Linked DNA regions of Nothobranchius furzeri. The protein of the gene in region 2 interacts with the protein of the main gene of each other region in a pairwise test. Links are inferred from orthologs where the notes say so. Each region holds a gene or a part of one and is shown on either strand. Other genes may lie near its edges. The genes, in order: mif, bnipl and gfer.

What was found.
Region 1: the proteins of bnipl (region 2) and mif interact in a two-hybrid assay, tested with the Homo sapiens proteins (2 studies listed by BioGRID and IntAct). The link is inferred for Nothobranchius furzeri from reciprocal best matches to the Homo sapiens genes BNIPL and MIF.
Region 3: the proteins of bnipl (region 2) and gfer interact in a two-hybrid assay, tested with the Homo sapiens proteins (2 studies listed by BioGRID and IntAct). The link is inferred for Nothobranchius furzeri from reciprocal best matches to the Homo sapiens genes BNIPL and GFER.

The regions. Positions count from the first base shown.
Region 1 is NC_091741.1:91,261,329-91,266,688, reverse strand, and holds mif (macrophage migration inhibitory factor), read left to right. Parts: upstream 1-2,396; 5' UTR 2,397-2,506; coding exon 2,507-2,614; intron 2,615-3,502; coding exon 3,503-3,675; intron 3,676-3,779; coding exon 3,780-3,846; 3' UTR 3,847-4,044; downstream 4,045-5,360.
Region 2 is NC_091745.1:58,858,003-58,863,558, reverse strand, and holds part of bnipl (bcl-2/adenovirus E1B 19 kDa-interacting protein 2-like protein), read left to right. Parts: intron 1-22; coding exon 23-90; intron 91-2,155; coding exon 2,156-2,404; intron 2,405-2,476; coding exon 2,477-2,671; intron 2,672-2,773; coding exon 2,774-2,876; intron 2,877-2,984; coding exon 2,985-3,116; intron 3,117-3,562; coding exon 3,563-3,649; intron 3,650-5,556. UniProt on the Homo sapiens protein: May be a bridge molecule between BCL2 and ARHGAP1/CDC42 in promoting cell death.
Region 3 is NC_091752.1:63,793,543-63,798,348, reverse strand, and holds gfer (FAD-linked sulfhydryl oxidase ALR), read left to right. Parts: upstream 1-2,325; 5' UTR 2,326-2,468; coding exon 2,469-2,681; intron 2,682-2,872; coding exon 2,873-3,084; intron 3,085-3,173; coding exon 3,174-3,336; 3' UTR 3,337-3,412; downstream 3,413-4,806. Other genes in the region: drg2 (developmentally-regulated GTP-binding protein 2), read right to left, coding at 1,885-1,948; syngr3a (synaptogyrin-3a), read left to right, coding at 4,769-4,806.

The DNA.
Region 1 (5,360 bases), on a different chromosome or scaffold from region 2:
GTACCAAAAATTGCAGTTCCACCCTCATCCGCTGGGGGCTGGTGTCAGAAGCGAGCAAATCCTCATTGACTCCCATGTTAAAAATACCAATTTCACAGCAGAAATAAACATGTTTACAGCCTGGTACCAAAACATGTTTTTGGTTTAAATTATCTAGTTTACACTCATGACAACTCTGAGGGGGTGATTTTTTCTCACTCTTCTGTTTAAGTGTATTAAAAGCCTAAAATTCTGTATAATTAATTAGCATCAGACCCACGTGACCACAGAGCTAGCTCCGTGGAAAGGATGGGTTGAATTGGATTAAATTTAACATTTACATTTAGATTAAAAATTTGGATTTATGTTTAGATTTAACATTTACGCTTGGCATTTAGATTTAGGTTTAGATTTTACATTCTGATTTACATTTAAAATGTAAGTTTAGATTTAACATTTAGCTGAAATGATGTGACATTTGAGCATTATTTTAAATGTGATGAAAGTTGCTAAATACAGGAAAATATGCGCAAAAATTTCTAAACATAAAAAAAAGTCTGCTAAACAATTTGCACCTGCAATTTATTGGCATCCCATACGGTGATGCCTGTTGTTGCGTACTGGCCCACTTGCAGACGTCTGAATAAATATCAGGAAAAAGTTTGTCAGATTTAAAGGTCTGAGATAAAAGTTGTTTGACAGAGTTCCACACTTTGTAAATGAGGGAATTAAAACTCATAGATCTTTGTTCCAGGCTTCACTAAAAAAAGTCATCACCTCAGTCTGAAAGATTGTGTTGCAGAGACAATGAAGAAAATCATTTCAAGTGAATTTAGTTATTAAAATCACTCCTAACTCAAAGTCACCAGCTGTGTGACTCACCCCCTGCCTGCAAAACCAACAGTTAAAACTCAGATGCCAGCTGGGATGGAGGAGGATATGAGGAAAATGAGAACAGAAGGAAAATTCATAAAAAACAAATAACTAAAATATGACTTTCTGGATGTGGTCAATATGAAAAACTGGAATTTTGAGTCGTAGTTTGATCTGCAGCCAAAGTATTTAATAATTTTTAGTGACATTCTCCATCTTTCACTTGTACTGTTTTTATTAAATAACTCAGAATGAGTCATCCCCTACCAGATTCTTACTCCACTCCCACTTCCTGTTTGAAAAATGCAACAAATGCTGTAGCCTAGCAGACCGAGAGGGCGGAGCCGCTAACAAATACACACACAGGCTCACAACTACATTGTGATAATGCTGCACTATAGAAAATGGGTTGAAATATAACATGTTGGTGGAGCTGGGTTCCGACTATCGGCTTGTGGAGCTCTAGGGAGACCGATGTTTTCCACCCGTTTTTCCCCTCCCCGCAGCTCTGCGCATCTCTGTCTAATCGCGGCTTCTGTCTGCTGCGTGGGCTGCTGGCTTCCAGCAGCTTTCGGGAGACCTCTGTGTTCCACCCGGTTTTACCCAGCGGTCAGCCCGGCGTATCTCTGACTCAGAAGCTCTGGTGTTGTGCACAATTAACTCCGGTTGTAGCTAGGTTGCTACCTCCGTTAGCTTAGCTCCCACCTCTGCGTTAGCTTTGGGTTAGCTTGTAGCTAGTTCGACCGGGTGTCGTCAGTTGATCCCAGCCTTACAGCCACACCCTCAGCTCCACCTCTCTTCCCTTTTGTAGAATTGTCTGGGCTTGAAGGAACCTGTGACACGGTCAAAATGGCGGTGGTGGCCACCTCCCATTTTTGCACAAAAACGTGTTATTGGAGCCTATGGAAATGAATTGTCCAGTATATATGTAGATGGTCAGAACATATTTGCTTTTGTAAATGTGTAAAGAAGGGATTTACCAATCTGGTGCCCACAGGCCTTTTCTCCAAACCTGCTGCCATCTTTTAAAATCGCAAATGCATTATTATAGATTTAAAACCTACATGTTTCTTTACAAATATTTAAATATGTTTATAGTAAATACATTTTAGTTTAACTCTGATCTATTCTAGTTCAAAGGTTATATATTTGTATATTATTATGTACTTTTTTAATCAATACAAAGAAAAAGGTACTTCAAAAACAAAAAAACCGACAAAAAAGTTAAAAACAAACTTTGATAAATTGCAATTAAAAAAGTTCTTAACAACAAAAGTGCAAACTTCCCTTAAAATGTTTATGTTTCTATTAAAGACCAGCTTTCTGATCCAATCAATGATTTAGATTTGGATTTGGGTTAGGGTTAGGCTTAGGATTTCTTTTTAATCCAAAATTCACAAATTTTCACTATTGTATCAAACTTGGTTAACGCTCAGTCACAACCCTGAAAGTAGCTCTCAGCTTCAGGTTGGTGACCTAATGTGGCCTAAAAATTTGTTGCCATGTGTCCTCCAGGATGAGAGGTGGCGCTGTGGTCAATTAGTTTTTCATTTTTAAGGAGGAGGAAGAGGTCATTCTCGTGGCTTCTTTACGATCTGGAAAGAGACGAAGAACGTCTGCAGCTTGAGCTGGAGAGAAGAAATAAAAAGCAATCATGCCGATGTTTGTGGTGAACACCAACGTGGCTAAAAGCAACGTGCCTGCGGCTCTGCTGTCCGAGGCTACGGAGGAGTTAGCTAAAGCGATGGGTAAACCTGCTCAGGTAGGTCAGGAAGATGTTCCTTCAGACCATTATAACCCTGCAGATCATTTACCATGATGCATTTGATTATATATGGAACGATATATATACTAAATCACATCAGTACCATACTAAATAATATCCATTATGAAAGAATGTTTGTCAAAATGCTAATATAACATTAGAGATTACCTGCAGGGACGGAAGCGGCTCATCAGTTTGGATCAGTTTGCATAGTTGAAAATAATTACATGAATTAATCTGGATTATATATCACTGGTCCAAATTTCCCAGATGCAAGATGGATAAAGTGAATTACAAAGAATAAATAAAATTACTTCAGAGTGGGATGAGCATTAAAAAAACACCTAAACTCAAAAGGATAAAGAACATAATAACATAAAATAGTTTTAAAGTAAACGAAAATAAACACTAATAGAAAAGAAAATCCCTCCTTTTTTTGAGGCAATGTTTTTGCCACATCCACAACAGGAGAAAAATAAAGACTAAGATTAAAATAAACACCAAAACAACTCAACACAGAAATACTTAAAGGTTCAAAAATCTAAATATTAATTATAAAGAAATCTTAAGAAAAAAAATAAAATTCTGAGGGAAACGATAGCAAAGTACAGTATAACATTTTTAAAGCAAGATTTTGAATGACAGACTTCAACAAAGCTAAATCTACAGAAAAGTGAATGTTACAAATAGCGCTGTTGTAAATCTTTCAATATAAAAGACTAAATTCCATCAATATGGAAAAAAATTGTACAGACAAATATTTTTGGAGACTTATTAGTAAAGGTACAATGGAAAAATATTTGTCTTTGCTTCAAGAACTGTTGACTTGTTCACTCACTTAGGTTTGACACTTAATATTGCTTTTTTCCCTTCATCTTTCTTCAGTACATTGCTGTGAATATTAACCCTGACCAAATGATGATGTTTGGTGGAAAGGGAGACCCCTGCGCTCTGTGCTCCCTCCACAGCATCGGCAAGATCAGTGGCGCCCAGAACAAGCAGTACTCAAAACTACTGTGTGGGTTGCTCAACAAACACCTGGGAGTCTCCGCTGACAGGTAACAGTAGCCCATCAGCATGCTGATCCTCTTTGTAGGACTTGATCAAACACACAACCTCTATTCATTGCTCATTAACCTCTTTCTTCTGGTGTCTGTTTTAGAATTTATATCAATTTTGTGGACATGGATGCAGCCAATGTGGCCTGGAACAACACCACTTTTGGCTAGGATGGAGGTCAAGACTGAAATAAAAGATCATTCCAGTGTTTTCCTACTTGTATTAGGGTAAATAAAGCAAAGAGCTGAGACACTTTGTTATCCAGGTAATACTGTAGGGGTACCTTAAATGCACTTGATTGGACCCCCTTGCTATGTACTGACCCTTTTGCAATTAAACGAATAAAGAAAATCACGTGAAACAATTAATGAATATCTTCTGTTTGGGTCAGTAAGCCCTCCTATTCAGAAACTTTATCATATTTAAAGGACCTGCATGCAGCTATTTCACACCTTACAGAGCAATAGTAGGCACACTATATGATAAATATTACCATTGGCATTATTGAGATGTCATTTTTGTGAAATGGAAGTTATTTTCACAACCCACTCTTTCAAACATTCAACAATGGATTTTGCATGATATAGGACCTTTAAAAGGGACTTTACGGAGTTTTGAATGTTTATGCTCGCGATTGCCCCCTCAGGCCAAAAGCGTGACGGCAGCTTCAATAGTAGGCTCATGCACGAGGTGCGCATGCTGTACGTGCACACTCCTTAACGAAAATAACAGCTGAGACAGTCCCGTGTGTGTGTGTGTGTGGCCCGGATGACAGAGGACAGGAGAACGCGTAGCCAATTAATTAAATAATTTGGTTCTGTACCTTTCTCTTCAGCACAGCCGACAAAGGTTTAAGATGGGTCAGTCCTCCTGCATGCTCAGATCATGCCCTTCCCTTGAAAAATTGTTCCAAAATGAAAGTTGAACCCACATCTGTTTTATCTGTGAATTCAATGCCGTTCGGCGAGTCTCAAATAAAAATTTGGGCATCTTACTGTAAAAAATATACCATTAATGTAAAAAATAAACTCTAAATAATCTATGTTCACATCCAGAATCAAACCCGGGTCTTCCGCACGAGAGTCCGCTGTCTTACTAGGTGCGCTATAGCACCAATGACATCTTTTGTATCTGTAATATTTATATCCTTGCTGACAGCTGAAACAACGTTCAAAGAATGGTTCAGAGCGAAAATGGCTATTTTGTTGCTAATTTGCAGGAAATATCTAGAAGAAAGTAGCTAAGGGTCCTCAGAAATGTAGCTAGGTTCATCACTAGGCGTGAGGAACAGCGACAAAGTCGCTGAGTTGGCACTGCCTCTCTCTCTGCTGCTAAAGCTACGGACAGCAAACGCTACGGGCGATGCCTGAGCGTGAACGCGCATGAAGCAGCCTGCTCGACCCGAGCATCTCTCTTTTTCTGTGATTTTACAGAAAAACAGGCAATCACAGTAAAAATGCCAGGGCTCATTCTACAGGACCAGGGCATTGCAGGAGAATGTATGAAGAAGAAATTTATTATTTCTATACATTATTTGGCTGTCAAACTTCCATAATGCCCCTTTAAAGAATTGCTTGCATAAATAATAAAGTCTTATTTTATAAAAAACAAATAAATAAATCAGAAGACTGTTATTTCTCTTCAAATAACAAATGTTTGTCAGGTAGTGGTTGGGCATTTTAGA
Region 2 (5,556 bases):
CTTTTCTGTCTTGGTGGGTCAGGCCCCTCCCAGAGGATGGTGGAGATCCAGAGGAGTCAGTGAGTCCAGTAGGAGGATCCAGTGAACAAGGTGAATTTCTCCTGATTTATTTACATTTTAAGATTGGAAAAAAATAACTTTCTATAAAACAGAAGGTGATTACAATCCCCACCGTAATTTAACCCATTTTCTTTTTCTTTCTTCTCAAAAATTGTGTTCACATTACAGCATCTCACTCTGCCTCAGCTGAATGAGGCAGTGCAACACCTTAGTCCTAAAAACTACATCATACTACGCCCCTGCTTGCGTACTGAAGAATGTCTTTAATATTGTTAGATCATTCAGTCTTTGTGGTAAAACGTGGTTGGAACAGAACTCAGGTTCACATTTAAACACGCTGTGGTGCAACCTCTTATTAAAAAGAGAGATCTAAACAGCTTTGTTCTGGCAAACTCCCACCCCATTTCCAAACCACGTTTCTGGCTCAAGATCCTGGAGAAAATAACCCAGAATCAGTTGTAAGATTTTCTGATAGAAATTTCAGTCTGGGTTAATTTTGTCAACAGAAACAGCACTACAACATCCTTCTGCCTGCTCATTCATGAAATTCTGCTGTCTCGATCCTCTTAGAACTAAGTGCTGCTTTTGTCACCAATCATGACTCTCTCCTGTCTCAACTCACACACTAGGTAGGTATCAGAGGAACTGCCTTTAACAGAGGAACCGTCTCTGTTCAGATAGATCAGTGTTCCTCAGACCAAGCGCCTCTGATATGTGAAGTTCCTCAGGGTTTAATTCTTGACCCTCTCATGTTCTCATTATTGTCATGATCCACCCGGCCTCCCTGACTGTGTCTCTCCTGCCCTTATTAGCCTAATTGTTCTCACCTGTCCCTGATTACTCTGCCCATGAGTTCCTGATTCCCTTGTGTAATTATAGCTCCCTCCTTGTTGCTGTCTTTGTCGGTTCATTGTCGTTTGTGCATGTTCGTTCGTCCTGTTGCTCCCAGTCTACAATTAAACATCTTTTTATTTTTCATCCGTCTGCCTGATCTTCTGCCTCCTGGAAACCACCACCACACATGGTCTGCCACCTCCACCCGCAGAACATGACAATTATACATGTTGCCATTTGGATTTATCTTCAGAAAATAGGCAGTTCCACTGCTTCGCTGATGATGTTCAGATGTATTTTCTATTACGGTGACTTGCTCATACACTTAGTGTTTCTACATATTAACAAAAATACAACAGAAGTCATCTTGTTGATAGGGTTAGGGCAAGTACTCCCTTTAACACCATTCAGTCGTTTCTCTATGAAAAACATGGAGTCACATTCGACTCCTCCCTTATTTTGACAAGCAAATCAGTTTGGTTAGTTAGTTAGTTTCTTTCATCCCAGACAAATACCAGCTTCTTTCCCAATGATTTTGAAAAACTCATCTATTTGCAATTCCTTATATAAAGACTGAAGTCAGTCCTCCCTCCACCAGGGACATTAGGTCATACAAAATGCTGTAACTCATCTCCTTACAGGTACAAAAAAAAGCATGAACACATAATACTGGTGCTGGCTTCACTCTATTGGCTCCCTATCCAGTACAGAATTATCTTCAAGGGGTTATTGCTTGAGTTCAAGGTGCTTCTCGGTCTGTCCCCACCTTATGACCATTACCTTCTACTTCTCTGCTCTCTTTCTAGCTCAAATAGGAAGATGCACTTCACTGTTCCTGATTATTGAACAGAGGTGGCCGTGCTTTTGCAGTTGCTGCCATTAATCTCTGAAACAACCTGCCTCTTCACATTAGATCAGCTCAGGACCATGGTCATTTCTAAAAATCTCCTCCATTTATGCTCTTTGGCATTTGACTCCAGTTAGATCAATATCTTGATCCTTCTGTTCCTGTAGTGTGTGTAGAAGTCTTATAAGTTACTTCAAATCTTTTTGGAGCAACCCTGGTTTAAATGAAGTGCTATAAAAAATGATATTGAAAGTGGACAAAAGCTTATCAGACTGTAGCCCCTCCCCTTTCACTTTAGAGTGGTAGCCAACAAATTTTTAAGGGGGCCATGGCCTCCACTGGCCATCCCTTGGGGGTGCCACTGCTTGAGTCATGTTTTCCATAAATTGACTTCTGACCTCTACTCTCCCTCAGCACCGTCTACCAGTCTGGCCTTGTGTACAGGTGAGAGGGGGGCTAAAAAGCGTCTGGCGGCCCCAGCTCTTAACCTCACTCTGAGTCACACTGACTCACATGACAAGACTGACAGCTTCTCGGCAGCAGCATTGTCAGGGACACCAGATGACACACCATCACTTGACATAAACCTGGAAGCTCTGGAGACACCATCGGGCAGTGAAACAGGAACACTACCAGATAGCATGCATGAACTCGAGTGGGAAGGTGAGAAAACATGGAGGCTAAGTTGGGAAAACTCCTCCTGTTTTTAGCTGACCTATGATCTATTTCTTACAGATGACCTCCCCCAGATGGAGAAGGGTGGGGCTGTGGGTGTGGCCAGTAGCCCAGTGGAGCACTCTGAGGGTCTGATGGAGCTAGACCAGGTGGACAGCAAAGGGCGCCGTTGGAGGAAGTTCTGCATCTCAGGGTATGAATACCGGGTCAACATGAGCGTTCTGGAGCCATACCTGCAGGTGTTATCACATGGAGGTTAGAGATGCCATGCACACCATGAACACATCTGGAACATACCTAAAACTCAGGTGTGCACTGTGCACAGGTTCAAAGTCAAATGTCTTGTTTTTTTCTTAGGCTATTATGGAGACGGGATGAACGCTATCATCCTTTTCACTTCTTGTTACTTGCCAGAGAGCACAGTGGAGAACTATGACTATGTCATGGACAACCTATTTAGGTGGGTTTGGATTTGTAGTAAGAAAAGGGATGACACAAGAGCATGAAATGACAGATCTAGTGAAACGCCTGAACTCAGAAGTACCACCGTGTTTGCCTCTGTTAACAGGTACATTATTGGGACATTGGACTTAATGGTTTCAGAGAACTATGTGCTGGTTTACCTGTGTGCCATGGCTCCCAGAAACAAACTGCCAGCCATCAAATGGCTTCATCAATGCTATACCTCCATCGACAGAAGGTATGAACATTTCTCTAAGTAGTGCAGCCCTGTCGGGTGGAGTTCTGACCCAGGATCCTTTAACTTGTCTGCTTAGAAACTGTTACTATGTTATTATGGTCCTTTTCCACTAGTGCCTACTCAGTGCAGCTTGACTCAGCTCTGCAAAGTTCCAAGGCATTTCCACTAGTAACAGATCTGTGGTTTAGCAGAAGGAAGTCGCTACCACGTCCTCCATTTTTGCATTGTTTTGTGTTGTGGTCAAATAACCTCACACTACCTTTTGGACTCTATGGCAAAAAAACCTACTAGAGTTGATTTTCAGTTGTAATGGAAAACGACCCAAAACTTGTAAAGTAGAGCAGTGCTAAGTCGAGCTGTGCTGAGTAGGAGCTAGGGGAAAAGTGCCAGAGATTACATCCCATATGCATGGCAACAGTAGTGACATCAGTGTCTTGTCTGTATAGGTTGAAGAAGGACCTGAAGGGACTGCTAGTGGTTCATCCTGCTTGGTACATCAAAGCTATAATAACAGTGGTCAAACCCTTCATCAGGTCTGAAGAACTCACACACACACACACACACACACACACACACACACATAGCAACATTGCAATAATACAGCTGCACCCACCATACTTGCAGCTATTTTCACAAGAAATTCAGAGGTGATGTCTGAGGCACACATCCAGAAAGGGTGTTTTTGTAATGTCTCTTTCATCAGTGGCTGGAGGCCCAGTTATCTACTGATTAGGACAGGATAAAGTCAGCCATGTGTAGAAACCAGGGCCTCGTTTACAAAACTTTACATAGAATCCTTACTAAAATTCCACTTAAGCTCAGCAAAACAATACCTGTGCAAACTCTTTTTCAGATCTATAAAACACTGCTTATGCACAACCACACACAATTCCTGCTTTATAAACCACACTCTTCCTAGAAACGTACTCAGGTGATTTTGGATTATATCTCACCTCCAAGACACCTACTTTCTGCCATAAATGGTCAATGAAAAGCACTCTGCATATACAGTGGGATGCAAAGTTTGGGCAGCATTGTTAATTTAAATGATTTTCCTATATTAATTGTTGGTTGGTTTGATAAAAAAAACTGTTAAATATATCATATAGAAGACACACTCAGTGATATTTCAGTGGTGAAACTAAGTGTGCAGGTGCATACATTTGGGCACCAAAAAAAATTTATCTCGATACTTAGTAGATCTTCCTTTTGCAGAAAGAACAGCCTCTAAATGCTTCCTATAGCTTCCAATGAGAGTCTGGATTCTTGTTGAAGGTATTTTGGGCCATTTTTTACAAAACATCTCTAGTTCATTCAGGTGTGATGGCTTGTGACTCACACCACAGATTTTCAATAATATTCTGGTCTGGGGAGATGGCCATTCTGGAATGTTCTACTTGTTCTTCTGCATGAATGCTTTAGTAGATGTTGAGCAGCATTTAGGGTCATTGTCTTGTTGAAAGATCCAGCCCCGGTGCAGCTTCAGCTTTGTCACTGATTCCTGGACATTGGTCTCCAGAATCTGCTGATATTGAGTGGAATCCATGAGTTCCTCAACTTTAACAGGATTCCCAGTCCCTGCACTGGTTACAGTCCCACAGCATGATGGAACCACCACCATGTTTTACTGTAGGTAGCAGGTGATTTTCTTGGAATGCTGTGTAATTTTTCCTCCATGCATAACACCCCTTGTTATGTCCAAATAACTCAATGTTAGTTTCATCAGTCCACAGCACCTTATTCCAGAATGAAGCTGGCTTGTTCAGATGTGCTTTACCTGAAGCTGCTGTTTGTGCTGTGGGTGGAGAAAAGGCTTCCCCTGCATCACTCTCACGTGCAGCATCTCCTTGTGTAAAGTGCACCAAATAGTTCAATGAAGCACAGTGACTCCATCTGCAGCAAGATGATGTAGCAGGTCTTTGGTGCTGGTGCTGGTGCAGTCAACTCTTACTGTTCACGTCATTCTTCACTTCTGTTTATCTGAGATTTTTCTTATTCTGCCACTTTGAGCCTTAACCCTTACCCAACGTTTAAATTTTCTAACGTTAAAGCCATTCGAGCACAAAAAAATGCTCTAATGTGAGGTAAGGGTTAACTTGAACTGTGTCTGTGATCTTCCGTTTCCTCAATATGTTCCTAACTGTGGAAACAGAAGCTGAAATCTCTTACTTTCTGTGACTCCTATAAACTTCGTTTCACTTCTCAAATATCATTGAGTGTATTTCCAACATGATATATGCAACTGGAAGCTGTTATCGTAACAACCAACGATTTATACAGGAAAATCACGAATATTAACAAGGCTGCCCAAACTTTTGCATCCAACTATATATAAGATGGCGGATAGATGGCCTTTCAGAGGTAACCATGGCAACTGAAACTGAAATAGAGGTGCTTGTGCAGGTGATGTAGGCAGAGAAAAGCATTTTATTGCCTTTCC
Region 3 (4,806 bases), on a different chromosome or scaffold from region 2:
TCACAACCAGGTGAACGTGTACGGTTCTGCTGATGTCAACATCATACACAAAAAACGCTGAACACTAACTAGAAATTCACGAAAATGAATAAAATATTCTAGTTTATTGGGTCCTTGGTAATTTAAGACCTTTGGAAACTGTATTTAAGGATTATTTGTGATTTTTAAGGCCTTAAATTTGGAAAAGCTAATTTAAGACTTTTTAAGGACCCGCGGATACCCTGTATGTAATAAGATAAAAACACTGTTTACTATCCAGTAACTAGGTGTGTGTATTGGCAAGAATCAGGCAACACGATGATAAATATCACAATACAGGGGAGAAGACACAAGATCTTGCTAAACTAAAAGCTAGATGATTAACTGTAAACCTCAGGCCAGAGGCTTCCAAGACTCATGCAGTGGGCGTCATTTGGAATCCTAAGATGTCCAAGGAAGGTACCGTCTTTCTCACCTACGATTGGCTATTTCATGTAAGAGGAAACTGCAGGTTTTTATATTTACAGACAGACCTTGAGGAATTTTTATTCTTTTTTTTAAAGAAAATGGAACTCATTGCTATAATAAACATCCTTTCCTGTTTAGCAACAAACCAGTTTCAGTTTCTTTCATAAAGAATCTGAAAAACATCAAATGTGAACTTGTAATCAATGTTGTTGTATTTTATCAATACTGACTTCTGTTGGAGTTTTCTCTCATTACTTAATTATTAGGCTATCCTACTTTATTAGGTTACGGCTGTTTACACATTAGAGCACATCTCTCATCAGATTAAATGTGTGTCATTTAATCAAAAATTAAATTAAAGCTGATTATGATTTAGACCTCTTTTTCACCAGTTTTTATTAAGAAACAGACCTGATGCACACAGCTGGGCAGAATAGAGCAGTTTTATCAAATTTCATACCCAGGTAAGGCACATATGTTTATCCTATGTACTCTAATGCTTGAGAGCCAAGAGACATAAAGGAAGTCCAACAGTTTGATAAATGCAACTAGATTATAAATTCACATTTTACGTTTTTCATTCAATGTGAAATATTTTGCAAAACAGGACAGAATGGTTATTATAGCGCTAAGCTCACATTTTCTTTACTAAACCCCCAAAACAGCTTTCTGCTGGTGGCATAATAGTAAAAATAATAATAATAATAATCTGGTTTGCTGCTAAACGAAATAGCCAATCATAGTTCGTAGAGCCTTTCTAGCCAATCAGAGGCGAAAAAGGTGGGATCTTCCTTGGACATCCTAGGATTCCAAATGACGCATCCAGTGGTATTGCGAGGATTCGTTTTTCTGTCAGAGTGAAGGCAACAACAACTGCTGCCACCTAGCAGATGGAGTTTGAATTGCACCACACAAAAGAATTAGTGAAAGTTTGCATGAAAATTGTCAATAAAAGAACTGAAACACTGCTTTCAAATATCGATTCAGTATCATAACAAAACATCGCGATTTCTCTGGGTATCGGTGTTTTCTTACATCTCTACAGTGGACTATAGTAAACACTCAAAACCCATGAGATAAAATATTGTTTAAAAACACATTTGTGGCTTACGTTTTACGTTGACATAAAAATGAAAACAAACAACCCTTTAAAATAATTACAGTGTGTTTACACCTTAATAAAAAATTAAACTTAGCTTGATTACATGTCTGTAAATAAAGGCTACCCAACCAAGACAAAACTATTATTACTTTGCAGGAATAAAGTCAGATTAGCTCTGTCCTTATTTGGACATAATAATTTAACACCAACACCTGACACACACACACCGCCACTTATTTGCCATTGTGACCCCACAAACGTAGTAAAACAAGTCCAAAACACACCAACTTTGCCTGTTCTGTAGCTACCAGTTAGCTTCGCGGCTACACTGTTACCTTTATTCTTCTGTGTCCGAGAAATCTCTCTTTCGATTTCGGCGATTTTCTCCAGAATGCCCATGTTGGTGGTGCAGGTGAGATGCAGCTACTCTGTCGGGGAGACAAAATCCAACAGAAACGTGTCACCTCACTGCTGCTAGCTTTGTTAGCCGCCCGGCTAGCCTGCAAACAAGTCAAACTTAACGGTTAACAAACCGCATCAATAGTCGTCCACGAAAAGGCTTACATAATGAAATTTACGTCAGAATAAACCCTGAACATTGTCAATTATTTTATTCGTTAAATAGATAAAGAAATTTACTTTGACAGAAGGTTCAATCAGCCGCGCACGCAGACTGCAAACCGGAACACGGTTCGTCGCTATAAAACGTTCGGGTGAAACAAGGAAACGCAAGAATAACCAAACGGACCCTCTAACGAATTACACTGTGGAGTTATGACTAAATACACGTGATTTAGTTAACAGTATAACCCAGTTATGCTTCCAGTCGTAGCTAGTTTCATTCCAGTTTACAGACATTTTTAATATTTACTAATACTCGAGGTCAATTAGATAAATATTAACTCAGCAGGAGAGAAACATGGCTGCGCCTGCTGGTGCCGCTGAATCGTCAGGCGCCAGCCCGCCGGGGTTCGAAGGTTTCCCCTTCCCGGTGAGCAGCAGACCACAGGAGGACAGCTCCGGTAAAGGGCATGAACAATCCGGGGATGCAAGGAAGAAGCCATGTAGAGCCTGTACGGATTTTAAATCGTGGGTGAAGCTACAGAAACGGCAGGATGCTGATGCTGCTCAGGTGACATGACGTTTTAAGTTAATTAAAAAGGGTTTTAATCTGTTTGAAGGGCTTTAACGTGTTTCTCTGTCCCATATGTTTATTTGTTACCAATTTAGTGTTAGTAAACTGTTATTTATAGTGTAAATCTCACCCGATCCTATTATTTTATGACCTTTGTCTCTTTTGTGTGTTGAAATCTGAACCCACAGGAAACTCGTCCTGCAGAAAATGTGAGACCAGATCCCCAGTGTCCACTGGAGAGGGATGAGTTGGGCAGATGCACCTGGTCCTTTCTGCACACCATGGCCGCGTATTACCCAGACCGTCCGTCTTCCAGCCAGCAGCAGGACATGGGGCAGTTCATCAACCTGTTCTCCAGGTTCTTCCCTTGTGAAGAATGTGCAGAAGATCTCAGAGACCGGTCCGTCCATTTTACCCAGGTTTCAGATCCAATAAGTTACTCTTCTGTACAAATGCTGGAGGCCAACTATGTCCATGTGCTTCCCGCAGATTAAAAACCAAACAGCCGGACACGAGCAGCCGCTACGCTCTGTCTCAGTGGTTCTGCCATCTTCACAACGACATCAACGTCCGGCTGGGAAAACCCGAGTTTGATTGTTCACGTGTGGATGAGAGGTGGAGAGATGGATGGAAAGATGGAACCTGTGACTAAGTGTTTGTATTAAAAGTTATGTCACTAAGAGTTTATTTAATAAGTATGATCGCAAAATAAAAAGGAATTAAATGAATAATGTTTTGTCATTTTTTGGTTAAAATAGGGTCAGAGCTGGCCCAAGGCATACCTGAGTTAAGCAAATGTTTGGGATCCCCATGAGCATCAAGATAGTGGGAAAAATGTTTTAATAGCTTTAAGTTATATAAACACAATTATATCCCATGTGGAAAATGTATTATTTTCTATAATGTAATTTGGTTTTAGCTTTAAGTGATTTCGCATTTCATACATCTGCTCCAAATTTTAATGCCAAAATACTTGAATTGTTGAAGCTCACACTACTAAAAGTAAAGCAGAATTTTTTTTCTAGAAGTGTATTTTTTTATCGTCACAAAACCAAAACAGTGATTCCATCACTACCAAACAACTAGTGATACCACCTTAACTGGCATTTAACCACTTAATCAGTGTGCCATGTTGTTTCCTCACATCCTTAACTAGTTTTATTCTTTCTATGTGTTTTATATATAATTCAAACAAATATATTATTATGTAGTCGTACAATTATTGATATAATGTATATGACTGATATTTTATAATGGTAATACTTATTGTTACAAATATTATTTTATAAGTCCTTTTCAAACTTTCGTCTTTTTCTTTTCTAATAATTTTCTGCAAAAGTGCACCGTAATGTGACGCACATAAAATGTGCTTTCTCTTGTCTCATTTAACGACGAGAAACCTTTATATATATTTTTTTCATTTAAGTTTATAAAAGGAAAGAAAATGTTGCTAAAGGAAAAGCTACATTGGTTTATTCTGAAGTGGATGTGAATTTAGAATTTGCCACCAGGGGGCAGTGATGTGTTCCAGTGGAGAGTCTTCTTTTTCAAAAAGAACACATCAGAAAATAGCCAAAATTTCACAATATTGGAAAATTGGCACAAACTCTTTGCAGGTGTTTTGGATTAATTAGCTGAGAGAGTATCCAATTGGCTAGCACCATCTTTGTTTTGGGGGTAGACAAGGCAAAGTAGTTTAATTTATGCGGCACGTTTCTTTATGCATAAGAAGATTTGAAAAAGTACTAAGTTAAACGCTGAGTAGTTACAGCACAGACAGTCGGTTGATGAAAAATTTCGTCTTCGGTTTTGATTTAAAACAGGTCTCTTTCTATCAGTTTCAAGCACAGTCAGTAGAAAATATTTTCATTTTATTTAATGTACTTGGCTTAAATAAATACTTCCCATACCGCACTCACGTTTTGCGCTAAAATGTTCGCACTGCGTGTCCTACCCTTGCTCGTGCGCTCGCCACCGGGAGCGCGCAGGACCCGTCCCTACAGCAGCGCATCCATCCTGCCGCGGGGTCCGGGAGCGTGGAGGAGCGCACACTCACTCACACACAGAGGGAGAGACACTGAAAGATGGACGGAGTGGGATCGTTCGGAGCGGGCCGATCCGG